3 separate regions of the Mus musculus genome follow, and all the other regions are reported to be linked to region 3. The links are microRNA targets in miRTarBase. Many come from high-throughput screens and were not tested one by one. Region 3 holds a microRNA gene; each other region holds the end of a gene's coding sequence.
The links. The annotated mature microRNA mmu-miR-466c-3p reads AUACAUACACGCACACAUAAGA and lies in region 3 at 6,074-6,095, opposite strand. An mRNA with a match to its seed (bases 2 to 7 or 8) in the 3' UTR can be bound and repressed. Matches are read on the target gene's strand: a 7mer-m8 pairs with bases 2 to 8, a 7mer-A1 pairs with bases 2 to 7 and ends in A, and an 8mer does both.

Region 1: miRTarBase lists Cd28 as a target of mmu-miR-466c-3p. Seed matches in the 3' UTR shown: 7mer-A1 at 1,040-1,046, 7mer-m8 at 1,077-1,083 and 7mer-A1 at 3,283-3,289.
Region 2: miRTarBase lists Ado as a target of mmu-miR-466c-3p. Seed matches in the 3' UTR shown: 7mer-m8 at 5,329-5,335.

The regions. Positions count from the first base shown.
Region 1 is chr1:60,769,514-60,779,521 of GRCm38, forward strand. It overlaps Cd28 (CD28 antigen), which reads left to right. Exons shown (of 4, transcript NM_007642.4): 4 at 144-3,846. The coding sequence ends at 272. 2310016D23Rik (a long non-coding RNA gene) reads left to right here and starts at 8,948. Exons shown (of 3, transcript XR_865459.1): 1 at 8,948-9,403.
Region 2 is chr10:67,541,200-67,552,032 of GRCm38, forward strand. Ado (2-aminoethanethiol (cysteamine) dioxygenase) reads right to left here and starts at 7,756. Exons shown (of 1, transcript NM_001005419.2): 1 at 3,312-7,756. The coding sequence starts at 7,574. The coding sequence ends at 6,804. Egr2 (early growth response 2) reads left to right here. Exons shown (of 4, transcript NM_001373983.1): 4 at 1-989.
Region 3 is chr2:10,491,582-10,502,414 of GRCm38, reverse strand. Mir466b-7 (microRNA 466b-7) reads right to left here and starts at 6,147; the gene lies at 6,060-6,147. All of the region lies in intron 10 of Sfmbt2 (Scm-like with four mbt domains 2), which reads right to left. Mir467a-8 (microRNA 467a-8) reads right to left here and starts at 6,435; the gene lies at 6,353-6,435. Mir669p-2 (microRNA 669p-2) reads right to left here and starts at 5,918; the gene lies at 5,832-5,918. It also overlaps Mir467a-9, Mir669a-8, Mir467a-7, Mir466b-6, Mir669a-9 and Mir466b-2, and 2 more genes.

The DNA of each region.
Region 1 (10,008 bases), not on the chromosome of region 3:
CCAAGGCACACAAAAAGGCTCCTCAGGGTCATTTAACAGCTGATGATCTGAGTAATTATCCCTAAAGTCTTAGAACCCCTCCAATAATACCTCCTCTAAGTCCTTCCATATTGACCTTTTTCTTTTTTCATTTCCCCCCCTAGACAAATAGTAGAAGGAACAGACTCCTTCAAAGTGACTACATGAACATGACTCCCCGGAGGCCTGGGCTCACTCGAAAGCCTTACCAGCCCTACGCCCCTGCCAGAGACTTTGCAGCGTACCGCCCCTGACAGGGACCCCTATCCAGAAGCCCGCCGGCTGGTACCCGTCTACCTGCTCATCATCACTGCTCTGGATAGGAAAGGACAGCCTCATCTTCAGCCGGCCACTTTGGACCTCTACTGGGCCACCAATGCCAACTATTTTAGAGTGTCTAGATCTAACATCATGATCATCTTGAGACTCTGGAATGAATGACAGAAGCTTCTATGGCAGGATAAAGTCTGTGTGGCTTGACCCAAACTCAAGCTTAATACATTTATTGACTTGATTGGGGAAGTTAGAGTAGAGCAATCAAAAAGATCATTCATTCAGCCTTGGGAAGTCAATTTGCAGGCTCCTGGATGAGCCCTGCCCCGTTTTCACTTGCCAGCACATTTCAGTCATGTGGTGTGATAGCCAAAGATGTTTTGGACAGAGAAGAAAGGATAGAAAAACCTTCTCTTTGGCTAAGTTGGTGTTTGGGGTGGGGATAGGTTAGAGTATAGTACTTAACTATTTGAAAAATAATGAAAACACTTTTTTCACTCATGAAATGAGCCACTTAGCTCCTAAATAGTGTTTTCCTGTTAGTTTAGAAAGTTGTGGACATATTTTTTTAATGATTTCTGACCATTTTTAATCACATTGACTCATGGAATGGCCTCAAAGCACCCCCCAGTGCTTCTTTCCTCATTCCCGGTCATGGGAACTCAGTATTATTAATAGTCACAACATGATTTCAGAACTAGATAGCCCTCCCACACCAAGAAGAATGTGAGAGGAAGTAAGGTCACTTTATGTAAAAAAAAAAAAAAACAAACGCGTACACATATGTATGTATACATACATACCTATGTGCACACACACACACATATACATACACACAAAATGCTATGAAGAGTTATCTGTTTAGTAGCCTGTTATAGTCAAATCATTTTAAGTTTCAACTTCTTACAGTTGGGCCACTTGTTGTCCTTTGTGGATGGATATCTGAAATTGTGTCTATATATTGCTAGTCATGATACTGTGAACAAAAAGGGTAGTGTTAGTATTTGTCAGGGTGGTAAGGATGCATTCCAGGAAGCTTCCTCTGAGGAAGGGAATGAGGTCATTCTTGCCATGTATGAAAGACATAGATGTTTTCCAGAAGGCACCATTGGGAGCCCCAGTATAAGTTCCTTTAGACTCTACAGTTTAGAGGGATTTTATATGTCCTAGGACTCAGGACTCCAGAACTTTGTGGGCTCAGCTGCTTCATACCATGGGGATACATTGACATGAACAATTATTTTGGAATGTGTCTTTAGGGACGACATCAAAGTTCTCAAGTACCTACAAGACCTGATACTGGAATGAAGGTGGACTTTCTTTTTTGCTTCCAGTTCGGATCAACTGGAATGTATCTGGGGACCTTGAAGAACGGCTGTCCAGCTGTCTTCACCATTTGTATAGTGCTTTGAATTATTCAGAGGTTTTAAAGTCAGGAAGACCTGGTTTAAAAAACATTTCATTATGAGTTAAATGGCCTCAGGCAAGTCACTGTTCATCCAAGTCTATGACTCCTCAACTGTAAGATGGCCACACTGAAACTTGCTAAGATCCTCTGGCCTCTGCCTCCCAAGAGTTGGGATTTCAGGAGTGCACAATCATGACCCAAACTCGTGATAATCTCTCAGCTTCAATAACTTTCCAGCTAATTGGAATATCCTGTAATCAAACATGAGGCATTTCCCCTCCCCCCACTGTTTTTGTGTATAAAGAGATCTTTAAACTTTTTTTTTAATATGAGGGGTAAGAAAAGATAGGAATCTTTTAATTCTAGACAGAAGATATTGTGCTTTGGTTTTTTTTTTTTTTAATGGCTTCTATTCTGTGCTTTTAATTAAACCAGAGAAGGCCAAGATTAGCCCTACTTGTGTGATAAAAGAATGCTGGCCCTTGTGATTGCAGTCAGCCTCTTGACACATAGAGTTCTTGAATCTAAGTTATAAAATTATATTTGAAAATGACAGAGCTGGAGAATTTATAGAAAGGGTCATAGCAAATAACAAACCATTTTTTTTTAAACGGAAAGATTTGGTCTTTGGCAATCAATAACTTTGTTTTCTAACTGGAAAAGGAGGTTTACTGGAGATGAATCACACCTGAAAGTTTTCATACCTCCTCTGAACACAACCGAAACATAGGTGTCCAAAGCCTTTCGCTCTCGGTATGAACCAACAGGCGGGTTAAAAACACTGGGTCAGAGTAAAGCTTTTGCAGTTTCAGATGTAGTGTGTATGAAGAAAACTATGTCACTTGCTGCTATTATTGTAAGAGTCTAAGAACTAAAGGTGTGCCTGTAATTTCTAATTATGAGCTCACCTATTTGGTACCGAGCATGCCAATTTTAAAGAGACCCGGTGTACCTTATAGCTACATCCAATGATAAAATTACCACACTAGCACATGCCTGTGTTTAAACTCGTGCTTTAATGTTTTTCTTAGGGCAGGTATGCACCCCCTTTGCAGTGAGTTGGGAGAGATTTTGAAAAAGTGTATGACAAACATTTTTAACACCTTTGGTTTCCTCTCTCTGTGTCTCTTTGTCTCTGTCTCTCTCTTTCTCTCCTGTGCATATGTCTCCCCTCCCTCACTTCTCTGTCTCTTCCTCTCTCCCTCTCTCTGTCTTTCTCTGTGTGTCTCTCTGTCTCTGTGTATCTCTCTGTCTGTCTCTTTCTCTGCAGATTTTCAAAACGTTGTTTTTCTATGGAAGAAATACAAGCTGTGGTTGGTTTGCTACGAGTCAGTAGCAGTTTATCAGTAGGCCAATGTTTTATCTCTTGGAGATTTCAGTCTGGGTTTACCCAATGTATTCTCTGTAATGTGACTGCTGGGGACAGATATAACTTGATTGAGCCTTCAAATCATTTAGGTCTTCAATCATTTAGTCAACGGAGTGAGCCACTAATCTGCAATGGCTATTTTAATATGCATACTGATGGTCAAATGGATGTCTGATCTCTCATCCCAGCTTTCTGTACTACCATATGGGAACTATATGTAACTTGTATACTTACCTGAATATGTTAAATTCAACTACATGGTAAGATGGACCAGAAATTGCAATGTTCATGTCCATATAGCCACCATTAACCCAAGTTAAGCACAGTAGTGTGGGTTCTCTCAGGACTTGTGAATGAGTTTATGCTCTCTACAAAGACAGGTGAAGCTTAAATCTCTCTTGCACTGCTATGTTTATGCAAATATCAAGATTGTTTCTGTACCAGGGACTTAACACATTCTATTCATACTATTTTCCCTGTCTACAATGTTATTTCATAGATATCTACTTGGTTTGCTCTTACTTCCTTGACATATTTGCCCAAATGCCACCTTCAACTGTAGTTAATTACCTGTACAACCTGTCTCCATGCCTTGTTTTATTTTCTCTATAACTCTACTAATAGGTATTTTTCTTATTTATTGGTTTATTGCCTGTTTTTTTTCCTAAATCTACACCGGATCTCCAAAGGGAAAGAACTCCATTTGCTTTGATTTTATTGCTGTATCCCCAGTGCCTAGAATAATGCTTAGCCTGCAATAAATATTTATTCATTGACTAGATGGATTTCACGTGGGTTTATGAGTTAGTGGCAAATCTGAATGATCTGCTCATAGTCTGAGAAGGAAGCAGAATCACTTCTGTTTTCCACTTCCTATTAGAGACAGAAGAGGTAAAGCAGACACAGAGAAATCTGGTAGAAGGACATATCATTGATACAAATTCATTTACAGCTTAGAAATTTTCATGCATCCTGAAAGATGAATACAGTCGGAGTCATTCTAAAAATGTTATTCTAAAAACAACCAATTAGGAATAGGTTGATTTTCCATTTAAAGTTCTCAAGTTCTCTCTCAATAGCTTCTTGACATCCTTTTTGTTTTTATTTTTTATTTTTTGGAACCTTCTTTTAAAATGTTGTTATTGGGGCTGAAGAGATATCCCAGTCATTTAGAGCATGACATGGGCTATTTTTCCAGAGGTCCCAGGTTTGTTTCCCAGCACCCATATTTGATGCTCTCTTTTGATTTCTATGGCCACCAGATGCTTATGTGGTCCAACAGACATTCATTTAGGCAAAACACACACATAAAAAATAAATAAAAATAACATTGTTGACAATTTCATGCATTTGTTCGCTGTATCTGACAATACCCATACCCAGCTCCTGGCCACCATGGCCCTGGGCAGTCCCCAATGCACAACCCCCTCTTGTTTTCACGTCCTCCCCTTTCTTTTCCTTTTCTTTTCATTTTGGTAACCCACCTAGTCCAGTTAGTGCCACTTGCTGGAATGTGTACCAGTCATGGTGGCTTGACCTTGAACAGGTCTTGTACAGGTAGCCATGGCTCCTGTAAGTTCATAGTACAATGGCTGTGCAGTGGCTGTGGCATATCTAGAAGACAGCATGTCACAGCATGCCACACTCTCTGGCTCTGACATTCTATAAGTTAGTTCCCTCTTCCATGACGTCCCCCGAACTTTGTGGGAAAGGTTGCTTGCTACAGATTCCCATTTAGGGTTGAAGAAAACACAAAAGTCACTCATTCTCACCAATCTGACCAGTTTCTGCCTAGTGCAGAAAAGAGGCTTATTTGGCAAAGGCTGAGAGCAGCACTTACCTATGGATATAAAAAGAAATATTTAGAAGGAAGTCTTACCTGTCTATTCAGTAAAACAATAGCAGTGGGTTCCCTATTATGACCTATGACTTATGAACCATGAGCCACGGACTTTTGACCAGGTTCACAGTATCAGGCATCAATTCCTTCCTATAGTGTAGGACTCAAATCTAATCAGAAAGTGACTGGTTAACCCATAACCTTCCTGTCACCATTGCATCTGTGGGCACATCTTCTCTGTCAGGTTGATATTGTAGCCTCCAGGGACCGGTTCTTGGTGGCATTGTTTATAACCCCACCCCACCCCTCAGTTGCCAGAAAAGCACCTCTCGGCACTATGAAAGTTAACCAGCAGGAAAGAAATTCTCAGGCCATTTCTACCTTGACTACTCTGTTCTGTTCTGTAATTAAAGTCTGTTGTATCTTCAGCAGCAGGGCTTTACCATGCAGTTAAGGTGGGCAACCAGGACAATAGCAGCTTCTGCTGCCTTGCGGGCCTCCGCAGTCTCTATGACATATCCCATGCCTGGCACTGAGAGTTTTTTCATTTAAAACCCATGTTTCTGAGGGAAGCATTTTGTCAATGCTTTAAACCCATCTTTAGCTTCTGGTTTCTGAAAATATGGCTTTTGTAGTTAAAAACTCACCCTACAGCTGAATTACTGCTCTTCTCTGTGGAGTGATTTTGTTCCAGTGAAGTCTAGAAATGCTTTGTTAGCTCTGATCCAAAAAGATCTCAAACAATGGTCAGGACAGGAAATGCCAGTCTCTTTACCTGTCTTGCTCATGGCGTAAGTGGGTGCTTGAAAAGCTTGCAACAGCTTCAGCCAAAAAGAAGAGCAAACAAGCAAAATACGTGGCATTGGGAGCAAGCTGAAAATTTATACCATACTAGTATTTAACACACACATCAGCGGACAGTGGCTGGGGGTGGGGTGGGGTGGGGGGCAGTGCAAAAGAATCCTGTGTGTGGAGGAGGAGACACTTGAGCCACAGACACAAGAGCTTGTCTGATACTTGGTAATCCATGTAGCTGTTTCTATTTGGCCTTAAGTTTTCCTTTGCAGATGACCTGGAGTAAACAAGGTACATGATGAACTCATTTTTAAACCCACTCTTTGTTTTGTTGAAACGAGACTTGTGGAGTTCAATAAATGCAGAGAAAGCTTGAAAAAGATGAGCTCACATCCAGGCTACTACTTAAGAAAGTCTGGAATCAGCTAGTCTCGTGGATGTTTCAACAGGGAAATCAGATCAAACTGGAAAGGTACCAGATTAATAGATGGAAAAACCTCTGCACAGATCTCAGTAAGGATGTGTTTATTGTACTAATGGAAAATTGTATAACCTGTTAAAAAGTTGAGGTACCTCCAGACTCATCCTCAAGGTATAACACAAGGCAAATTCTATGACATCACTAGACAGGCCCCTCTATCATGTCTTAACCCCACAAATGTGAGAATTTACAATCAACAAACAACAGCCTTTAGTGCACTTTGTAGGAGATTCAGTCCAGGGCTCCATCTAGGCAAACAACTGAGCTGCATCCCCAGCCCAGGGTAGTTTCCTTTTCAGTGGGAAGAGCCATGTGTGTATATATCTTTGTGTATGTGTGTGTGTGCATGTGTGTGTGTGCATAAGCACATGTGTATGCATGTACATGCTGATGTTGGATATTTTCTCTATCATTCTGCACTGTACTTTTTGAGACAGACTTTCTCACTGAATGTAGGACTCATGCCAGTGAGCTGCAGTAAGCTCCTGCCTCCACCTTCCCAGCTCTAGTACGTCAGGTGAGCCCCTTAAAGCCTGACTCTTTACGTGACTGCTTGGAATGGATCCAAACTTAGATCTTTATGCGACAGGTCCCTTACTGACTGAGCCACCTCCCTAGACCCACATTCCTATTTAAGCAGTATCTTTTGTCATCTCTCGTTATATCTGGAACAGAGATGATAGATAGTTGAGACAAATCAAAGAAACTCCTGGGTTCATTGCAACAGAAATCTGACCCCCACAGTAAAAGGCAGCTACAGATGGTCTGGGAACCACCTTAGAAACCTGCTGATGGTGTGCTCTGTGTTCTCCTCAACTGAGCCTCCATTGATGTGCTGGCAGTGGTACTCAGGATCTTGGGTTTTGAGAAATACATCTGAGAGATTGGACCTCCTTATGTTTTCCCATCTGACATTCTGAAAGTAGGGTGTGTGTGTGGTTTTTGTTTTTGTTTTTGTTTTTTTTTTGAATCATAGGTTTATGGTTCTTAAAACTGTAGACTACTGTCCAGAGCAGTATGTGAAACACTAGCTTAAGTGCCTTTTGCTCATTTCAGGGTTGACATTGGACCCAATGCTTGAAACTACTTGCATTGAAAGTCTGTGTGTCCAAGAATATGTCAGACTTTCTGAGCTGACCTCACTCTTGGGGCAAAATCAAGGATCAGAATGTGTGCTTCCCAAAGGCCATGCCCTATGCCATTTGCCCACTTAAACTCTGCGAAAGGATTGGAAAGGCTACAAACTCAAGGGGATAAAAAGTTGTAAAGGATAGCCTGGATTTCACTCATACTTCATTATGTAAAGGCATCTCAATGACAGATAATCTCCTTTGTCTCCAAAGGGCAAGCTGTGAACTGGGTGGAAATGTCAGTTGAGACAGAAGAGCAGCAAACAGCTCTGTTTTCCTATAGTTGTGGTTTTGCATGGTGACGATGACACATGAAGATGAGAACAGGTAGCATGAACTCCAGTCATTATCTGAGTGAACATCTCTGCCAACGCTGAAGGATATGTGTGGGTGTCACCTGCAAGCACAGAGATGGGGAGGGAGGGAGGGAGGGAGAGAGGGAGGAAGGGAGGGAGGGAGGGGGAGGGAAGAAGAGAGAGAGATGAACAAAAGGTTTATTTATGAAGTTTACATTTGATTTCCTTTCCCTTGATAACTTCCTCATCTGAGTTTAGTGTCTAGACTAAATTGATGTACATTTGGTGACTGAGGAAGAGGGTCAGAAAGGTGGGTTTGAATTAGCATCAGCAAAGTTAGCCAGATTCATACAGACTTTTTTTTTCAATTTCTTATGCACACACTGAGCATTCGATACGTTGGCATCCAAAGTGAGGGTTTTTGCTAACGTCTGGGAACCAGTGATATAGATGATATGAAGCAAGACTAGCTGGAGGTTGTCATGGGGATGCTTTTTCATTCCAAACAGGGTGCAACTCATGTTTCATTTGCTTTGTGCCTCTCTGTCCTGTCTTCTTCTTCATTCATCCAACAACATTTTGATGACCGTCTTCCCAGCTCTGAAAAGCGGACTGGGTACAGGAGAAACGATAGAGCAACGCTGTTGTCCTTATCTCTGCGTGGACCAATCAGAGTGTATTTTACAACCCTTCACCTCCTTCTATTCACCTTAAGGCACCTACTTAGTCCTGACTGTAGAACTTAGACATTGTGTATCTACTGTTACTCTGGTGACTGTATAGTTTCTTGTAGCTACTGCAGTCTGTCACTGTAGACAAACAACTGAGATTAGCTGTATTTCAGCAAGCTTTTACTTATGGATATTGGTATTTGATTCTCCTTTAATTTTCTTGCCAGATATTGTGATTCCTCTGATTGCTGCACCATCACCCTAGCCGTATGTACACATACAATCCATTCTTCAGCTCATGGCCTGTGCAGTGTCAGACAGTGGCTAGACTTGGCCTGTAGGCCGCAGTTTGCTGACCTCTGAGACAGAACCAAGGCACCACTTTTAAGCTTTGAGCTTGTCTTTGAACGCCAGACACCATCTAGAAGGGATCAGTCTGGGTGCATGTAAAGACCTCTTGGGAGTGTGAGTGTCCAAGTAACTTTATTTAAAAAAAAAAAAAAAGGCAAGGATTTGCAGAGAATGAGGGAGAGACTTTATCCAAGAGAGAGCTATCCTGGGGAGGAGAAACAGGAAACTAAAAGCAAAGGGGACGAGAATTTCAAGATGACAGCATCCTCGGGAAATTAGTGCTAAAAGCCCAATGATTACTGTTACATTTTCTTTGCTCTTTTCCCTCTCGTCCAACCATCAAATCCATGCAATCTCCAAGGAAACAAAATAAATTTTTATTCACAGTGGGGGTGGGGGGGTATGGCCCGTGTCCAAGGTAATGAAAAAGACGAATTACCCTGCAAATCCTTCCAAATGGACCACACTCAGCTCCAGTGTGGAGTGGGTGGAGCAGAGACCAGAAGCAGCTGTCTCAGGACTGGCCTCCTACCACTTTCCATGACTTTTTCAAATCTAAATTTAGCTACTATTTATAGGTGACCAGGAGAGCACACCCTCACCCGCACCCGCAACCCCTGCTGCTGCCCACTGGAAGGGCAAACTAAAGCTTGGCATTTCACAGGTAGGCGTGAAAGTCAGCTTTATACAGATCATAGACACTGACCCGGCCTTTGTCATCCCTTATCGCTGCTCCACCCTGTTTGTCTACAGCTGCTGGTTACACCCAAGGTACAAATAGTTCTTTCTGGAAACAGCCTGTGGGGGCACTCTGAGCCATACACTCATTCATTCTATCTGGGCATTTTAGAAATAGGGTAAGATTTAGCTTCATTTGTGCAGCCAAGAATAGGAAATTGCTCCCCAAAAGGTCAGATGCCTAAGATTTAATATGCAAGCAGCCTGTAATACCTAAGATTTAATATGCAAGCAGCCTGTAATACCTAAGATTTAATATGCAAACAGCCTGTAATACCAGGAGCAGGCACACCTCTCTCAGAATGGTGTATCCTGCAAAGCCAGGATACACTAATGTGTTCAAGTTACAGTCTGGGTGAACAGCCTTAGGACCTCCAAGACTTTTCTTATATAGTGTGTAGGACTGCTGTGTAGGTTATTCACTCAGTTCCTTCCCAGGGCCTCTACAGAGGCCATAAGAAAGACTTAAATCTGCTCAGCCTCCTCTTGAAGCTGTGACAGGAGAGTACTTATCTTGTGGAGCCTACTTCGATCTTTCTGCCGCTTGGTTACTAGCTTTATAGGGAGAGACATATTCTCAGTCTCAAAAGGAAGCAACCTAGGATGAAAACCACTGAGAACAAAACAGGAAGAGAGGT
Region 2 (10,833 bases), not on the chromosome of region 3:
GGGAGCAAAAAGAGGGCTGGGTGAGGGCCCCTGGCCTACAGGGCTGCGCTCTGACCCTGACTGAGAGATGTCTGACTATGGTCTGCTAGCCCTTTCCGTTGACCCTGGATGCCAGTTGTTCTGAGACTTTTTCTACAATAGGTTGGGAGTTGCTGATTCCTTTGATCGAGGACAGCGGAAAAGACTAAATTAAAGCAAAACTGATGTGGCACTTTAATGGCTTGGGACTGACTTGGGGGTGGGGGTGGGGAGTTGTACAGTGAGCAGAGCCTCATCCTGGCTGCTGCACTCTGGCCCTAGAGCAGTGAATGGAGGTTTCTCTGGCCATCTCAACCCTTAAGCAATATGTCCTAGAAACTCAAGAGAATGGAAGTGCAATGTCGGGCAGGACAAAGCAATATTGGCTCCTTTTTTTGTTGTAGTTGAGGAACAAAGATTATTTTTTCAGTGTATATCCATTTAGATTTTGTGTATTTTTGATGTGCACTGCTCTCCGAGTTCTGAACCTTCGGGAAAAAAATGTAAAGCATTTATGATCTCTTGAAATGAGTCAAAGGTTAACTAACTTATTTAAAGGGGGACGTACATAGGATGCATGCAGTGAGTGGTGTTGCAAGTGTCCTCTGTGCCTTGTGTGATGTGGGCAGTGTTAACAGGGTCTGCATGTGTACAGGATGCCTTACTATGGGAACAGAAAAATCACTCCTTGGGTTTAAGTATGGCTGTATATTTCTGCCTATTAATATTTGGAATTTTTTTAGAAAGTATATTTTTGTATGCTCTGTTTTGTGACTTAAAAGTGTTACCTTTGTAGCCAAATTTCAGGTGAGAATGTGCTTCAATGTCACTGCCGCTGATTTGTTTGGTTATTAGCTCTTAATAGTTGTGGAGAGAGAAACAATCTATTCTAACATAAAAAAACCACTAACTGGAGTTCAGATAATGGATGGCTTATTGACTATGGTGTAAATAAATACTTTTCAACAATATTCTGGTTGCAGAGATCATTTCTGAAGTACTTACTGGGTGGAGTTAAAATAGTTATTGACATCTGAGAACTAGGAACAAACACCGCTTTAGTGAGGGGTTAGCACAAGCCCTCCATGTTCCCTTGCTGGCCTGTGGATAACAAGCCCTACCTAGCTAGGCTTCAGGGATTTCCCGCTGAGTTAGTGAGGAAGCCTTCTGACTCACTGTTCTGTCCCCTGTAACAGCCTATAGCTTCTCTCTGCTCCTGAGTGGGCTCCGGAAAATAAATACTTACAAGCAAGTGCCCACTCAGAGATGACACCCCCCAGGGCTGCTTTCAGAACTCTGACCACGGCCTGGAACTCTGAGTTGTGGCTTTGTGGAAAGTGTGGCAGCATGGTCAAATTAGAAATGACTTTCTGAGTTCCAGGATTAATCTTACAACCACAGGAAACTTTTTCAAAGAGCTATCATTCCTTCAGATCAAACCTGCTCGGACACCGCTGATGCCAGCTGATGCCAATGAAACGGCTTCAGCAATTACCCCAGGACTCATTTCTCTCCAGTCCTGGCGTCTCAGATGGTTGCCCATGTTTGGAGGGATCATTTGTCACAAGCTTGGTGGATCTAGAAATGATTCTCAAAATAGCTTAAGATAGGTAGACACGAGGCTGTAAAACTCCAAGACAATCTAAACTTACTAGGTAAGCTGCCTCCCCCAAAACATTATAAAACTCTAAGGTTTCTTTTTTACTGGGAACATTTTATCATTTTCTTTTAAACTCAAAACCATCTGACCTACCCACTTGTGTTATGCGCGTTGGCATCTTTACTCTGAAAATCTGGACCTCAATATTTATAATGTCCACTGCTCCTTATGCAATGTAATCTGCGGGTGTAGCCACACTGCTCAGCCTCAACAGAAAACCCCTCCCTTGCTTCTGGTCCCTGTAAAGTCCCTGAGGCTGATGGCTACTAATCAAGGGCTTGCATTCTACAGTGGTGGTCACATCTTTGGCCCTTAACAGCACAAGGATAAGAGATTCAATTTATGGAGGCCACTAGTGCCCCTCCCCAGTCTCCTTCCTTTAACCCCCTTTCATGGGTATAGAAACTTCTTTCCAGAACTCCTAAATAGAAATTTCAAAACCTTTAGTGTGGGATGGTTTCCTTATAATTTCCCACTGGACTCGGGCTGTCAACTACCAAAACTATTATTGTTACTTATCCAATACTGGCAACTATAAAGCCACACCACATCGTGGTAACTTTTAAATACCTTTCTCCTGCAAAACTTTCATTATTTAAAGATAGTACACACCTAAATTTTGTAGTTTTTAGCTATCTTTAAAATTTTAATTTTGGACCACATTCAATCAAGATCACCCAAGCCAGGATTTTAAAAGCAAGACTAAACATCACTTAAAGAACAAGACAAAAAGAAGTCTCCATGCTAAAGCACACCGGTTATGTGATCAGTTCCATCCTGGTGTGGTAGCAAACCTCCCCAACAAGCCATAAGATTCAGTACACCTGAATGGTCAGAGCTACCCTTTCTGCTTCTGTCCCCAGTTACTTACATACCCGATATCTTTAACCAACTTTCTCAGTTTAAAAGCATTCAGGCCAATTCTCCTGACATTTAAAATTTTTGCCTAAGAAATCACCACAGAATGGTAAATTTGGTTCTTTTAATCCCTCCCCTGCGTCCCCCAAATGTTTCAGGTTTTGTGCAGAGAGATTCCTTAAGAGATTCATGCCAGAGATGGTTTCATTTGTATAACAAACAGCTGATGAAACCTAAATGACTTCCTCAAGCCAGGATATTTAATATCCGTATCCTAATTGTTTACGAGACCAAGGCAAATCATTTCATAAAAGTTTTCAACTGTTGGAACAATTCAGCATGTGTGTGGAGGCATGTAGATAGACTCCTAAATGCTGCCAGTCCAAATGGTAACCATGGAATTACTAAGACAAAAAAAAGAGATGAAAACACTTTAAGCCTTAAGATTTTCTTTCCTTTTAGGATAAAAATTGACTTTGTTTTTCTTGCTAGTTTCTTTAGATTAAATACAAAAGCAGCCTTTTCTGTTACAGCAAAATAGTGTAATTAGACAGTAAATACTCTCAGATGTATTTTCAGTCGGCTTGCTTCAAAGACCACTCACAAGAAAACAAACTAAGTTTATACCACTTCTTGGTCTTTGGGGGATCTGTAGGTCACTGGCTTTTGATACAATACAACCTTATGGAATAAACTGTGAGTTTTCAACAATAATTAAAATAGTAATAGTTATGTTTCCCTTCTCCACTTTGCAATAAGCAACATTATTTCTACGTAATTTTAAACATGCTTTTATTTCCCATAAGTACACACATCTTACTCAGAAACGTAAACACCCCTGCACTGTAAGACTGGGTATTGTTAAGAAATGATCTCCTTTGACAGCAGAAACCTCAGCACAATGGACCAATCTGGGTTCTGTATAACCCTACACTCTGAATTCAGGCCTGCGGTAGAGGAGCAAACGCTGTCAGGAGAGTGGCAGAGTGACGAAGTGGGGGTAACTGTCTCTCTGCTGGGCAGGACAGGAGAGCTAAAGCAGTTGACTCATTTGCCATCAGAGCAGGTAGGTTCTCCCCAGATGTCAAGTTCAAGGAACCTACAAGACAATGCAAGGATCGAGTGGGGAAGGAAAGGTGTACATTTTGACAGTCATGTTAAAAACTCAAGAGAACTCACTCCTATTAACATAGAAAACACATTACCTAAAAGGCAGGGTTTTTTTTTTGTTGTTGTTGTTTTTTAATGTAATCAGCAGCATGTGGTAGTAAACCCATCAATTCTCAAAGGAGTAGGAAGGTATGAAAATCTTACATCGATATAACTGGTCACTGATAGAACTACAAGGTTGAAAAGGTTCAGTGTATTTAGACAGACAGACAGACAGCGTCTCACTCAGGATCTAGTTATTGCATTTATTATTCATCAGAACAGTTAAGTGACTTAACACCATTGTGCTCATTGGTCTTTTCTAAGAAAAGGAGAAGGTAACTTTTATCCTAATTTCTAGACCACAATCTATATTGTAGACCTACAGGGAAACACAACGGCAGAAGTTATAGCTAATAGTTTATGCATAGACGTGCAAGGATTTTTCTGCACATTTTATCTTAGTAACGAGCATATTCTTTCTCAAGTGGCTCATTAAAACATATTACACTGTTTTCACCGTAAGTTTACTCAGTTTATTAGTGAAATGACAGTTTCACTGTTCCTATTGAACTAATGAGGAACACAGTATTGCTGTTTTAGCTCAGAACAATTTCGTTACTCTTTTGAAAAGCACCTTAGGGTTTTTTTCCTTCCAAACTGCTTATAACAAACCTTTAATATTTCTCCTCCTTCTTTTGCAATGAAGGCCTTCATAATAATTGTTATTACTAGCCCAATTCCAGGCTAGACTTCTACAGGCTCCATGAAAGGACCTCCAGAGTATGCTGTAAAGTACACATGACTCTCAACAATCCTTGTAAAGGAATCAACCTTTGCTGCAATTCAAAATCTGTATGTGGCTGAAAAACCATATTCATTATTAATATTCTATGAAAATAGTCAAATTTAAAACCATCACTTCCTATCTAGATGTTCATACGAGTGGCTCAAAGAGCTGCTTCGAGAGGCTCCAAAGGCATTTTAAAGACCATGATCAGAAAGAACTTGAACTCTAGCAGCCATGGTGGAAGTGTTTGGGTGTTGCTCATGGTTTGTCAGGTTTAAAGCAGGTTTCCACTGGCCTGTTGTTCTCATTTTTATTAAAATGAAACAAACAAACAAACAAACAAAAAGCCACAAGCCAAGCCAGCAATAATTTGCTGTCTCGTACCACTTTAATGACTGCACCGGGAAGGACACCCCTTCAGCCTGGATGTGTATCCTGGATACATGGAGCCAAAAGCAGTTTGTTTCCCTGCCAGGTCAACAAACATTTGTCACTCATGACAGTAAGTCTCCATTTATTGCCGATATTAGTATATTCTATTGCCACATGAGCCATCAAGAGAGCTTAGAAGACAGCTGGGCACATCTGATTTCTACAGTTTGTCTTTATGAAAAGGCCTGTGATAAAAAGGAACCCTACACATAGTAAACAGGGGAAACTGGTGGTCCATGGTCAGAATCGATAGACACGTCTGTAAACATGGTAAAGGGGCTGAGCCTCCGCCAGCCATAATACTGCAGCAGCGCTAGGGTTTGCTGCAGTGTTGGCATAGGGTTTAGTCTCCAATCTTGGTGCCCTAAATGGCTAAATTCTCAAGCATCTATTCCATGTATCCATTTCATATGTGTGTGTGTACATACATATGTATATGTGTATATATACATATTCATATGTTATGTATACACACACATTTATATGATGGTGTCTTATGCATCCACGGTTCCGCTCAAATTCACTATGTAGCCAAGTCTGACCTTGACTTCTGATCCTCCTGCCTATATTTCCTAAATGCTGTGTGCTACACTTGGTTTATGTGGTACTGAGGATTGAGCCCAGGGCTTCTTGCCTGCTTAGCCAGCAGCCTACTTCCAGAGCCCCTCCCAGGGTACTACATGCTCTCTACCTCTTCCTGCAAGAGAAGGCAGTAGTAGGCAGCACTGGCTCTTGTTTAAGGGAGTGCTGGGAGGCTATCTCCCGGCAGCACAGCTGGAACCACACAGCTCCTCTGCAGGCTCCCTCCACAGAGAACGCAAAAAAACAAAAACAAAAAACCAAAACAGAACAAAACCAACAACAACAACAACAACAACAACAACAAACAGTCAAGAGTATCTTTCTCTTCTTTCCTAGGAAGAAGCTGGAAGTAAATACGAGTATGGAATTCAACAGGTGGCCAGGGCCTTTACATTCAGTTATTTGGAAGCATAGCAGATTCCGCTCCTCGGAATCGTCTGGTTAGAAAACACATAATTATTGTATCATCTTTGAAGCACGTCAAGGAAAAAGTCAGCTGAGGATAATAATCGTCTTTGCTTTAAAGGCAAATCCCCAATAGCAACAAAAAAATTTGTTTAAACGACAGATCTTGAGACCCAAGGGAAAGACGAGCTTTAAGGGCCTGACAAGAGAATTCGCGTATGTGACCTTCTTACTAAAGGTTACCTGAGTACACCAGAAGTGGCTACCAAGCCAGGGGAGGAAAGACATCGTCCTCAACACGCACAGTTATGAGGGTGAACCCCAGTGCTAGAAAGATGTCTTTTCAGAACTCCTCACTTTAGATGCTGAGTAGTTTGTGTGTGTGTTTTAACCAAACGAATAACTAAAAAAAAAAAAAAAAAAAAAAAAAAGAAAACAAGAACAATTCAAGGTCATGCACAATCAGTAATAAATTAAACTATTAAGGAGCAATCGTGGGCAGGAGAGAAAACAAATCTGAGTCACCGAAGGGAAGAGGGATTCAAAACTACTTAGTGTATTTTGTAGAGAATGAGAAACAAAAATGGTTTCATTATGGCTTTAGGATGGAAGCGCTTTAGGGTCCCTGCCCGGTTCCCTTAAATCAAAGCCTTGGTGGCACTGAGGATACCAGGAATCAACCTAGCCTTCCGCCCACCCGCCCCCATAACCGTGCCCGGTGGTGGCTGTACTCCAGTGGGCCGTGTTCCCCAAGGTTCCTCAAGATGTGGCGCTGGTCACTCCAGTAAATCCATCGTCCAGGCGAGGGGGCGGAGAGAAGAGCCCTTATGGAAGATAGAGGGCAGCCAGGCCTTTCTTGAGCAGGGCAGGGTACATCTTTGGCCCACAGTTCCCCGGGCGGCAGGAGCTTCAAGGTAGGACCTTGGGGCCTGGATAGGGCTCTCCCTCGCACCAGAAGTCGTCGGCCTGTGGTGTCTCCAGGAGCCACACTTCTCGGGGAAGGTCGCAGGCAGAGCCGGAAGCCTCCTTGGGTCTGATGGGCTCCACTACACGGTAATAGTGGCAGTCCCGGCCGTCCTCCGGGTCGTAGGGTGGGGCCAGGATGTCCAGGAAGGCAGCTGGCCCGTCCACGGCATCAATCTGGTGCAGGTTGTCCCGGTGTGGAGTGAGCACGCAGGGCCCACTGGCCTCGGTGTACTCGGCCCGGGAACGCAGCACGCCCGGTCGCACGGCCTCCCGCTCCAAGGGCTGCAGCGGGGGCTCGAACTGCTGCTCTGGCGGCGGCCGCCGATGCCCGGCCCCCGTGTCCAGCTTGTCCATGCAGCTGATGCGGACCGTGCCGTACAGCACCTTGAGCATACCGTGCATGCCCGGGTGGTCGTGCAGCGGGATGCACGTGCCGCTCTTGAGCAGGAACACGCCCAGGCTGAAGCCCTCCGTCTCGTAGATGTGCATGTAGGTGACCGGCGGGAGGTTGCGGGGCAGCGGCTGCGGCAGCGCCTTGCGCGGCGCGATGTTGAGGTCCTCGGCGCGCACCTGGGTCAGCAGGCTCTTGAGCAGGCTCAGGTTCTCCGGGAAGCCCGGCGCCGGCCCTTCGGAGCCCGTCGAGCTGCCGCGGAAGGTGAGACACGCCTGGCGAGCGATGCGCTGGATCAGGGAGGCCATGTTGTCGCGGGGCATGCTTGGCGCTTCCTGCGCGGCTCGCGGCCGGCCCGTTCCGCCTCTGCGCCGCCCCTTGCGGTCTCCGGCGGCCGCCACGGCTACCCGCGCGGACCCCCGCGCCAGGCGGGAGACCTCCCCGCAACAACCGGCCAGCGGGGCGCGCGGGGCCGCCTTGCACGGTCGCCCGCTTAGCGCGCCAATGGTCGGGCGCTTGCCCGCGCGCGAAGGCGAGTGCGCACGCGCACGGCCGCTACCCGCACTCACGCTCCGGGGCCCAGACAGGCGCTGGCGCGGGCCGTGCCAGGCGCTGCCTCACGCGCGGAGCTCCATTCACGCGGCCCACACCAACGACTACAGCCGGGCGCGGCGGGAGCGCCGCAAGGCACGCTGGGATGTGTAGTCCGAGCCTGCGCTTGCGCGGGGCACGAACGCGTCCTGCGGAGCAGGGGAAACCAGGATTTTTTTAAGAACTTGGCAGAAAGCGAGCAGCGCGTTCGTTTTGCAGAGCCTCAGGGTGTTTACTTGTTTGATAAAACTGAACTATTATTGCAAGAGATATAGCCAGTTAACTACAACTCCCGCCATCCCCGCAGTCGGGGTGACATACTTCCGGCAGCTGGTGGAGGCTTCTCGCCGCTGGGAAAAAAACGGCACAAGAGGGTCGTTAACCTTCTTGTGCCGCTAGGGCCTGCTGGGTCACTCGGGGTCACCTTTGACCCTTGCTCCCTAGGAATGAGGTTTCGGGGTCAACCTTAGCTGCTCGTAGGCCACACTGTGTGCGCCGTGGAGATCTGTGGATGGCGCTTGTCTATTTTTCTGTTTCTTAGGAGGTGAATGGGGTCGGGCGGGTAACCAAAGCGGTCACCCAGCACAGCTGTGCGCAGCTGTTGTTTGCCTCTGGGCCTGATGACGCTGCTCCTTGACTCACTGATAGCGGGAAGCTTTGAGAGGCCATTTGCTACAGCCAAGGGTTCTGTATACTAGTGGTTATCCATCCGTAGGGCGCCCGAGAAACACCAGTTGAGGGGCAAGGGGCGTTTTGTCAGAATAGATTATCGCTGTCATGAGTCTCTAGAGCAATGCAACTATCGGGCTGGTTTATGAAGTTAGGTCACCGCAGAGTGATTATTCTCTGGACTTTTTGCAGACGTAGGTGGTGGCTGGCAAAGGAAGATAGTAGATATTATGAATTTAAATCTTACCCTTGAATTTAAGGTCTTCTTGGACTTTCAGAATTAAACATGGGTTTATAACTGCAGTGGCCCAGGAAATCCTTTTCAGTTAAGAAGGCAGGCTTTTAGTGTGTATGTGTGTGTGGGTTTTGCATCCTAGCCAGTAAGTGTGGTATTCCAGGTACCTTGTTAAATACATTAAATAATGAGTTTTATCTTAGTAATACCCTCACAGAAACTTTTAAGACGTAGGCACTGACTGTATTATTCCCCGCCTGTACACGAGAGATTAATTTGCAGGTGCGCATTTGGAAAAGACGTAAGTGCAACTTAACGAAACACAGTTTGAATTGGTGTAAAAGGAACCAAGGGACACAAGGACGTAGCTTCTGCAGCTTATTGTGGTGCTCACAAGCTGTGGCTTTCTGCACAGCGTACCTTTCCAAGTCCTCAGTTCATTCCTCCAAAGAATGCTGGGTTTGATGCATCCAGACTTCTGAGTCATTGTTTCTCACCCAAAGTCCCTCGGTAGCTTAAAGGGCGATTCTAGACGTTATACCCCAGGGCTTCTGATTCAGTATTGGGGTGAAGGATAGAATTCTGGTTGAGAGGTGCCCACTGAAGTGGTTCGAGGTTCAGCACCCATGTTGGGGGGGGTGTCACTGTGAGATCTGTAAATGGTGAGCCAACCCCATTTACATTCCACAGTAAGAGCAACTATTTGGCTACGTAAATGGATCCTTAAGATTACTTGTGTTTGAGCCGGGCAGTGGTGGCGCACGTCTTTAATCCCAGCACTCGGGAGGCAGAGGCGGGCGGATTTCTGAGTTCGAGGCTTACAGAGTGAGTTCCAGGGATAGCTAGGGCTACACAGAGAAACCCTGTCTCAAACAAACAAACAAACAAAAAGATTACTTGTGTTTTAGAAGCTGGTGGTGTGCCATCCTTAAATGCACTATGGAAGTTCATCATGTAAGGAAATCCCATGCAGTTTATTTGTAAAGTAAGGAATATTTAAGAGAAAGTTCTTTTGTTTTCACATACAGATTTTTTTGCTTACTGGCTTTACTTGTATAAAGAGTAGTTAGCAGGAGAAACAGACACCAAAGAGCACAGACCTAAGCAGCATACAGCCTGCTTGATTTCCACGCCCCCCACCCCCTCTTTAATAGTTGTCTGCAGTTACATGAAGGAAGCTGTATTTCATCTGTCAACTGGAAGGTTAGATACTTATGCAAATGCCCAATGATGCCTTTGGGAACAGAGTAACTACCACAGGACAATAGGTATTATTAAGATTTTTCAGTGGCTACAAGTTACCCTTTAGAGACCAATAGGTTTAGGCACTCAGTGAGTGCTAAAGCAGGAATGTGGACTTTACCGGTTTCAGAGCAGAGCTTTTCAAGGTTATTTTATTTGCTTTGACCTAGTAATGGCTCCTCTCAGGCCCTCATTTTTCATCTGCTAGCTGATAAAAGTTTCCAGACAACCTGCATAGGAAACACTGGGGGTGCTTGTCCAAAGGGCTCGTCCCAAATTACATTAAAATCTGCAGGAGAATCTTTTGTGTGTTGAAGTTTTGGAGACCCAGTGGGTGTCCGCCTGTGGTACTTTATAAGTCACAGGGCCTTCACAGTTCCCTTTGATGCTGTCCTTCAGAGCTGCACCAAGGAAGGAGGATAACTGAGCCTAGTGGGTTTGCCCACCAGAAGGGCTTTGCTCGGCTTTTCTGTCCCACTGTTAGTAGCACAGCTGGGCAGGAGACTGTATTCATGGCCTTTAAAAATAGTCTTTATTTTTCATTTCTCCGTCTTGCGGTATGCAGAGTGAAAACCAAAGGAAGGGTAGAAAAAAAAGAAATGGTAACAAAAGTCAGGAAAATGCATGGCAGGGAACAAGTTTGGGATATGTGGAATATATTGTCAATAAATAGTATCTAGTGGTTACAAAACTTAGTGTTTGGAGGCTCAACAAGGAACAAGGAGAGACAAGGTGTTGTTTCCCAAGGAATTTACTAGCAACTGTGCCCATCTCTAAGAGCATACAATGAACATGCAATACCCAAATCCATACATCCATGATAGCTGGAAAGTCCTTTGGGAGGT
Region 3 (10,833 bases):
TGGGCATCACATGAATCGCATGCTGAACACTAACACATCAAGAAGTTAAACATGAATTTGAACTCCTCATCCTCCTAGCTCTGGCAAGCATACTCACCGCCTAACTGAGACATAGCTCTGGCCATTCCTATGAATGTGTTTGCATGCGTGTATATGCATATTCATATAGAGAAGTGAATATGCACACAACTATACACACATGCACATTTTTGGTGGGCATAAGATGAATCCCATGCTGATCATGAACTCATCATGAAATTCAGCACGAATTTGAACTCCTTATCCACCTGACTCTGTCAAGGGACTTCACCTGCTGAGTGAGACCTCTCCCCATTCAGTACTGAGGAATCTTAAAACTCTAAGTCACACGTCATTCAAATGGATCGATGAGTTGCACTGATGTTTGTGTGTGTGTTTCTGTTTGTGTCTCTGTACATGTACTTATTTGTGTAGATAGGTACATCCATATACTCAAATCCACACACAATAAAAACAGATAGAATAGAGATACATAGGGGACATCACATGAATCCCAGGCATATCTCTAAGTCATCATGAAGTAAAGCATGAATTAGAACTCCTGATCCACAATCTTTCACACCTGGTGAGTAAAACCATTCACTGTCCCACTACTGCATAATATTTAAAACTTTAAGTCACATATCATTCAAATGTATAAATGAATGCAATTTTTTTCCTGTGTGTGTGCTTGCATATACATGTGTGTTTATGTTATGTATATCATGTCAACACATACAATGAACATACAAGTAAGCACACATACATATACATGGGTTGCATAACATTAATACCAAGATGTCTCCAAATGAAGTTAAGCATGAATTTGCAATCTTTATCCTCCTGACTTTGTCAATCTTTTACACCTGGTGAGTGAGGACATTCAATGTCCCCTATGGCATAATCGCTAAAACTCTACATCACTTATCATTCAAAGGGATTGGCGAATGCCATTCCTGTGTCTGTGTATGTGTGCTTGCGTTTATACGTGTGTGTGTATGTTATGTATATTCAAATATAGACATGAACATGCACACACAACTATACACACATGCACATACATGGTGGAATCACAGGCTGATCTCTCATGAGGATAAGTATGAATTTGAACTCCTGATACTCTTAACTCTAGCAAGCATTTTCACTCTAAGTCACTTATCACTCAAATGGATTGATGAGTGCCATTCCCATGTGTCTGTGTGCTCATATGTGTCTTATGTGTGCGTGTATGTATATGTATATCATATTCACACATGTACATGTACACACACATCAACACATACACACATACATAGGGGCAATCACATGAATGCCAGGATGACTCTAACTCATCATGCCTTTACCATGAACTTGCACTCCTGATCTTCCCGACTCTACCAAGGGTTTTCCCGTGGTTTGTGAGACCTCACCCTGGCCCAGTCATACATAACCTCCAAAGCAGTAGGTCACATTTCATTCAAATGGATCCGTGAGGGCCATTCCCGCATGTCTGTGTGCATGTGTGTGTAGGTGTGTGTATGTATATGCATAAAATATACACGCATATACATGCAGGCACTTACGCACACAGGCACATACATAGGGGCCATCACATTAGTCCAGGATGATCTCTAACTGCTCATGAAGTTAAGCATGAAATTGAACTCCTGATCTTCCTGACACTGCCAATTGTTTACACCTGGTGAGAGAGAATATTCACTGTCCCTCTACTTTATAATCAGCAAAATTCTAAGACATATATCATTCAAATGGATCAATGAGTGTCATTCTTATGTGTGTGAGTGTGCATGCCTGTGTGTGTGTGAATACATTTGTATGTGTGTGTATTTATAGGGATGATCATATACACACATGTACGTGCACACACAATTATATGCACATGTACACACCTAGGGTCCATGACGCAAATCCAGGGTGATCTCTAACTCTACATGAAGTTAAGCATGAATTTGACACGAGAAGACTCCTAACTCTGGTAAGCGGTTTTCATGTGATAAGTTGGATGTTTCCATATACCATGAATATACACTCAATGAAACTCTAAGCACGTATAAATCAAATGGCTGACTGACATGTGTGTTTGTGTGCACATGTATGTGTCCCTCGGTGTGTGTGTGTGTGTGTGTGTGTGTGTGTATGCATGTTCATATACACACATGTACAGGCACACTTCCCTATACACATACACACATACACAGGGAAAATCACATGAATTCTGGACTGATCTCTAACTCATCATAAAGTTTAAATGAATTTGAACTGCTCATCCTCATGATGCTGGCAAGAGTATTCACCTCCTAACTGAGACAAAGATCTGGCCGTTAGTGAGAGTATGTTTGCATGTGAGTATATGCATATTCATATACAAAAGTGAATATGTACACAAGAATAAACACATGCACATTCTTGGTGGGCATCACATGAATGGCATATTGAACTCTAACTCATCATGAAGTTAATCATGAATTTGAACTACTCATCCTCCTGACTCTGGCAAGAGTACTCACCTCCTAACTGAGACATAGCTCTGGCCATTCCTATGAATGTGTGTGCATGCGTGTATATGCATATTCATATAGAGAAGTGAATATGCACACAACTATACACACATGTACATTTTTGGTGGGCATAAGATGAATCCCATGCTGGTCATGAACTCATCATGAAATTCAGCACAAATTTGAACTCCTGATCCACCTGACTCTGTGAAGGGACTTCACCTGCTGAGTGAGACCTGTCCCCATTCAGTACTGAGGAATGTTAAAACTCTAAGTCACACGTCATTCAAATGGATCGATGAGTTGCACTGATGTTTGTGTGTGTGTTTTGTTTGTGTCTGTGTACATGTATATATTTGTGTAGATAGGTACATCCATATACTCAAATCCACACACAATAGAAACAGATACAGATAGATATACATAGGGGGCATCACATGAATCCCAGGCATATCTCTAAGTCATCATGAAGTAAAGCATGAATTAGAACTCCTGATCCACAATCTTTCATACCAGGTGAGTAAAACCATTCACTGACCCACTACTGCATAATATTTAAAACTTTAAGTCACATATCATTCAACGTATAAATGAATGCAATTTTTTCCTGTGTGTGTGTGCTTGCATATACACGTGTGTTTATGTTATGTATATCATGTCAACACATGCAATGCACATACAAGTAAACACACATGCACATACATGGGTGGCATCACATGAATACCAGGATGATCTCTAACTGAATTAAGCATGAATTTGAAATCTTTATCCTCCTGACTTTGTCAATCTTTTACACCTGGTGAGTGAGGCCATTCAATGTCCCCTATTGCATAATCTCTAAAACTCTACATCACTTATCATTCAAAGGGATTGGCGAATGCCATTCCTGTGTCTGTGTATGTGTGCTTGCGTTTATACGTGTGTGTGTATGTTATGTATATTCAAATATAGACATGAACATGCACACACAACTATACACACATGCACATACATGGAGGAATCACAGGCTGATCTCTCATGAGGATAAGTATGAATTTGAACTCCTGATACTCTTAACTCTAGCAAGCATTTTCACTCTAAGTCACTTATCACTCAAATGGATTGATGAGTGCCATTCCCATGTGTCTGTGTGCTCATATGTGTCTTATGTGTGCGTGTATGTATATGTATATCATATTCAGACATGTACATGTACACACACATCAACACATACACACATACATAGGGGCAATCACATGAATGCCAGGATGACCTCTAACTCATCATGCCTTTACCATGAACTTGCACTCCTGATCTTCCCGACTCTACCAAGGGTTTTCCCGTGGTTTGTGAGACCTCACCCTGGCCCAGTCATACATAACCTCCAAAGCAGTAGGTCACATTTCATTCAAATGGATCCGTGAGGGCCATTCCCGCATGTCTGTGTGCATGTGTGTGTAGGTGTGTGTATGTATATGCATAAAATATACACGCATATACATGCAGGCACTTACGCACACAGGCACATACATAGGGGCCATCACATTAGTCCAGGATGATCTCTAACTGCTCATGAAGTTAAGCATGAAATTGAACTCCTGATCCTCCTGACACTGACAATTGTTTACACCTGGTGAGTGAGACCTTCACTGTCCTTCTACTTTATAATCAGCAAAATTCTAAGACATATATCATTCAAATGGATCAAAGAGTGTCATTCTTATGTGTGTGAGTGTGCATGCCTGTGTGTGTGAATACATTTGTATGTGTGTGTATTTATAAGTATGATCATATACACACATGTACGTGCACACACAATTATATGCACTTGTGCATACCTAGGGTCCATCACACAAAAACAGGGTGATCTCTAACTCATTATGAAGTTAAGCATGAATTTGAACTCCTGAGACTCCTAACTCTGGCAAGTGGTTTTCATCTGATAAGTGAGATTATTCACTATACCATGAATATACACTCAATGAAACTCTAAGCACGTATAAATCAAATGGATGACTGCCATGTGTGTTTGTGTGCACATATATGTGTCCCTAGTTGTGTGTATATATACATATGCATGTTCATATACGCGCATGTACAGGCATACTTCCCTATACACATAAACACAAACACAGGGAAAATCACATGAATTCCCGGCTGATCTCTAACTCATCATAAAGTTAAACATGAATTTGAACTACTCATCCTCATGATGCTGGCAAGAGTATTCACCTCCTAACTGATTAATAGCTCGGGCCATTCATGGGAGTATGTTTGCGTGTGAGTATATGCATATTCATATACAGAAGTGATTATGTACACAACTATACACACATGCACATTCTTGGTGGGCATCACATGAATCGCATGCTGAACTCTAACTCATCATGAAGTTAAACATGAATTTGAACTCCTCATCCTCCTGACACTGGCAAGAGTACTCACCTCCTGAGACATAGCTCTGGCCATTCCTATGAATGTGTGTGCATGTGTGTATATGCATATTCATATAGAGAAGTGAATATGCAGACAACTATACACACATGCACATTTTTGGTGGGCATAAGATGAATCCCATGCTGATCATGAACTCATCATGAAATTCAGCACAAATTTGAACTCCTGATCCACCTGACTCTGTCAAGGGACTTCACCTGCTGAGTGAGACCTCTCCCCATTCAGTAATGAGGAATCTTAAAACTCTAAGTCACACGTCATTCAAATGGATCGATGAGTTGCACTGATGTTTGTGTGTGTGTTTCTGTTTGTGTCTGTGTACATGTATATATTTGTGTAGATAGGAACATACATATACTCAAATCCACACAAAATATAAACAGATACAGATAGGGATACATAGGGGGCATCACATGAATCCCAGGCATATCTCTAAGTCATCATGAAGTAAAGCATGAATTAGAACTCCTGATCCACAATCTTTCACACCTGGTGAGTAAAACCGTTCACTGTCCCAGTACTGCATAATCTTTAAAACTTTAAGTCGCATATCATTCAAACGTATAAATGAATGCAATTTTTTTCTCTGTGTCTGTGCTTTCATATACACGTTTGTTTATGTTTTGTATATCATGTCAACAGATGCAATGCATATACAAGTAAACACATATGCACATACATGGATGGCCTCACATGAATACCAGGATGATCTCTAACTGAATTAAGCATGAAGTTGAAATCCTTATCCTCCTGACTTTGTCAATCTTTTACACCTGGTGGGTGAGACCATTCAATGTCCCCTATTGCATAATCTCTAAAACTCTACATCACTTATCATTCAAAGGGATTGGCGAATGCCATTCCTGTGTCTGTGTATGTGTGCTTGCGTTTATACGTGTGTGTGTGTATGTTATGTATATTCAAATATAGACATGAACATGCACACACAACTATACACACATGCACATACATGGAGGAATCACAGGCTGATCTCTCATGAGGATAAGTATGAATTTGAACTCCTGATACTCTTAACTCTAGCAAGCATTTTCACTCTAAGTCACTTATCACGCAAATGGATTGATGAGTGCCATTCCCATGTGTCTGTGTGCTCATATGTGTCTTATGTGTGCGTGTATGTATATGTATATCATATTCACACATGTACATGTACACACACATCAACACATACACATATTCATAGGGGCAATCACATGAATGCCAGGATGACCTCTAACTCATCATGCCTTTACCATGAACTTGCACTCCTGATCTTCCCGACTCTACCAAGGGTTTCCCGTGGTTTGTGAGACCTCACCCTGGCCAGTCATACATAACCTCCAAAGCAGTAGGTCACATATCATTCAAATGGATCCGTGAGGGCCATTCCCGCATGTCTGTGTGCATGTGTGTGTAGGTGTGTGTATGTATATGCATAAAATATACACGCATATACATGCAGGCACTTACGCACACAGGCACATACATAGGGGCCATCACATTATTCCAGGATGATCTCTAACTGCTCATGAAGTTAAGCATGAAATTGAACTCCTGATCCTCCTGACACTGTCAATTGTTTACACCTGGTGAGTGAGACCTTCACTGTCCTACTTTATAATCAGCAAAATTCTAAGACATATATCATTCAAATGGATCAATGAGTGTCATTCTTATTTGTGTGAGTGTGCATGCCTGTGTGTGTGACTACATTTGTATGTGTGTGTATTTATATGTATGATCATATAAACACATGTACGTGCACACAAAATTATATGCACTTGTGCATACCTAGGGTCCATCACACAAAAACAGGGTGATCTCTCACTCATTATGAAGTTAAGCATGAATTTGAACTCCTGAGACTCCTAACTCTGGCAAGTGGTTTTCATCTGATAAGAGAGATTTTTCCCTATACCATGAATATACACTCAATGAAACTCTAAGCACGTATAAATCAAAAGGATGACTGCCATGTGTGTTTGTGTGCACATGTATGTTTCCCTAGTTGTGTGTGTGTGTGTGTGTGTGTATATATATATATATATATATATATATATATATACATATATATATATATATATATGCATGTTCATATACGCGCATGTACACGCACACTTCACCTATACACATAAACACAAACACAGGGAAAATCACATGAATTCCGGGCTGATCTCTAACTCATCATAAAGTTAAACATGAATTTGAATTGCTCATCCTCATGATGCTGGCAAGAGTATTCACCTCCTAACTAAGTCATAGCTCGGGCCATTCGTGGGAGTATGTTTGCATGTGAGTATATGCATATTCATGTACAGAAGTGAATATGTACTCAACTATACACACATGCACATTCTTGGTGGGCATCACATGAATCGCATGCTGAACTCTAACTCATCATGAAGTTAAACATAAATTTGAATTCCTCATCCTGACACTGACAAGAGTGCTCACCTCCTAACTGAGACATAGCTCTGGCCATTCCTATGAATGTGTGTGCATGTGTGTATATGCATATTCATATAGAGAAGTGAATATGCACACAACTATACACACATGCACATTTTTGGTGGGCATAAGATGAATCCCATGCTGATCATGAACTCATCACAAAATTCAGCACGAATTTGAACTCCTGATCCACCTGACTCTGTCAAGGGATTTCTCCTGCTGAGTGAGACCTCTCCCCATTCAGTAATGAGGAATCTTAAAACTCTAAGTCACATATCATTCAAATGGATCGATGAGTTGCATTCATGTTTGTGTGTGTGTTACTGTTTGTGTCTGTGTACATGTATATATTTGTGTAGATAGGTACATCCATATACTCAAATCCACACACAATAGAAACAGATACAGATAGGGATACATAGGGGGCATCACATGAATCCCAGGCATATCTCTAAGTCATCATGAAGTAAAGCATGAATTAGAACTCCTGATCCACAATCTTTCACACCTGGTGAGTAAAACCATTCACTGTCCCACTACTGCATAATCTTGAAAACTTTAAGTCACGTATCATTCAAACGTATAAATGAATGCAATTTTTTCCTGTGTGTGTGTGCTTGCATATACACGTGTGTTTATGTTATGTATATCATGTCAACACATACAATGCACATACAAGTAAGCACACATGCACATACATGGGTTGCATGACATTAATACCAAGATGTCTCCAAATGAAGTTAAGCATGAATTTGCAATCCTTATCCTCCTGACTTTGTCAATCGTTTACACCTGGTGAGTGAGGACATTCAATGCCCCCTATTGCATAATCTCTAAAACTCTACATCACTTATCATTCAAAGGGATTGGCGAATGCCATTCCTGTGTCTGTGTATGTGTGCTTGCGTTTATACGTGTGTGTGTATGTTATGTATATTCAAATATAGACATGAACATGCACACACAACTATACACACATGCACATACATGGAGGAATCACAGGCTGATCTCTCATGAGGATAAGTATGAATTTGAACTCCTGATACTCTTAACTCTAGCAAGCATTTTCACTCTAAGTCACTTATCACTCAAATGGATTGATGAGTGCCATTCCCATGTGTCTGTGTGCTCATATGTGTCTTATGTGTGCGTGTATGTATATGTATATCATATTCACACATGTACATGTACACACACATCAACACATACACACATACATAGGGGCAATCACATGAATGCCAGGATGACCTCTAACTCATCATGCCTTTACCATGAACTTGCACTCCTGATCTTCTCGAATCTACCAAGGGTTTTCCTGTGGTTTGTGAGACCTCACCCTGGCCCAGTCATACATAACCTCCAAAGCAGTAGGTCACATTTCATTCAAATGGATCCGTGAGGGCCATTCCCGCATGTCTGTGTGCATGTGTGTGTAGGTGTGTGTATGTATATGCATAAAATATACACGCATATACATGCAGGCACTTACGCACACAGGCACATACATAGGGGCCATCACATTATTCCAGGATGATCTCTAACTGCTCATGAAGTTAAGCATGAAATTGAACTCCTGATCCTCCTGACACTGACAATTGTTTACACCTGGTGAGTGAGAATATTCACTGTCCCTCTACTTTATAATCAGCAAAATTCTAAGACATAAATCATTCAAATGGATCAATGAGTGTCATTCTTATGTGTGTGAGTGTGCATGCCTGTGTGTGTGAATACATTTGTATGTGTGTGTATTTATATGTATGATCATATACACACATGTACGTGCACACACAATTATATGCACTTGTGCATACCTAGGATCCATCACACAAATACAGGGTGATCTCTAACTCATTATGAAGTTAAGCATGAATTTGAACTCCTGAGACTTTTAACTCTGGCAAGTGGTTTTCATCTGATAAGTGACATTATTCCCTATACCATGAATATACACTCAATGAAACTCTAAGCACGTATAAATCAAATGGATGACTGCCATGTGTGTTTGTGTGCACATGAATGTGTCCCTAGTTGTGTGGGTGTATATATATATATATATATATATATATATATATATATATATATATATATATATGCATGTTCATATACGCGCATGTACAGGCATACTTCCCTATACACATAAACACAAACACAGGGAAAATCACATGAATTCCGGGCTGATCTCTAACTCATCATAAAGTTAAACATGAATTTGAACTGCTCATCCTCATGATGCTGGCAAGAGTATTCACCTCCTAACTGAGTCATAGCACGGGCCATTCGTGGGAGTATGTTTGCATGTGAGTATATGCATATTCATATACAGAAGTGAATATGTACACAACTATACACACCTGCACATTCTTGGTGGGCATCACATGAATCGCATGCTGAACTCTAACTCATCATGAAGTTAAACATGAATTTGAACTCCTCATCCTCCTGACACTGGCAAGAGTGCTCACCTCCTAACTGAGACATAGCTCTGGCCATTCCTATGAATGTGTGTGCATGTGTGTATATGCATATTCATATAGAGAAGTGAATATGCACACAACTATACACACATGTACATTTTGGTGGGCATAATATGAATCCCATGCTGATCATGAACTCATCATGAAATTCAGCACGAACTTGAACTCCTGATCCACCTGACTCTGTCAAGGGATTTCACCTACTGAGTGAGACCTCTCCCCATTCAGTACTGAAAAATCTTAAAACTCTAAGTCACATGTCATTCAAATGGATCGATGAGTTGCACTGATGTTTTTGTGTGTGTTTCTGTTTGTGTCTGTGTACATGTACATATTTGTGTAGATAGGTACATCCATATACTCAAATCCACACACAATAGAAACAGATACAGATAGGGATACATAGGGGACATCACATGAATCCCAGGCATATCTCTAAGTCATCATGAAGTAAAGCATGAATTAGAACTCCTGATCCACAATCTTTCACACCTGATGAGTAAAACCATTCACTGTCCCACTACTTCATAATCTTGAAAACTTTGAGTCACATGTCATTCAAACGTATAAATGAATGCAATTTTTTCCTGTGTGTGTGTGCTTGCATAAACACGTGTGTTTATGTTATGTATATCATGTCAACACATACAATGCACATACAAGTAAGCACACATGCACATACATGGGTTGCATGACATTAATACCAAGATGATCTCCAAATGAAGTTAAGCATGAATTTGCAATCCTTATCCTCCTGACTTTGTCAATCTTTTACACCTGGTGAGTGAGTCCATTCAATGTCCCCTATTGCATAATCTCTAAAACTCTACATCACTTATCATTCAAAGGGATTGGCGAATGCCATTCCTGTGTCTGTGTATGTGTGCTTGCGTTTATACGTGTGTGTGTATGTTATGTATATTCAAATATAGACATGAACATGCACACACAAC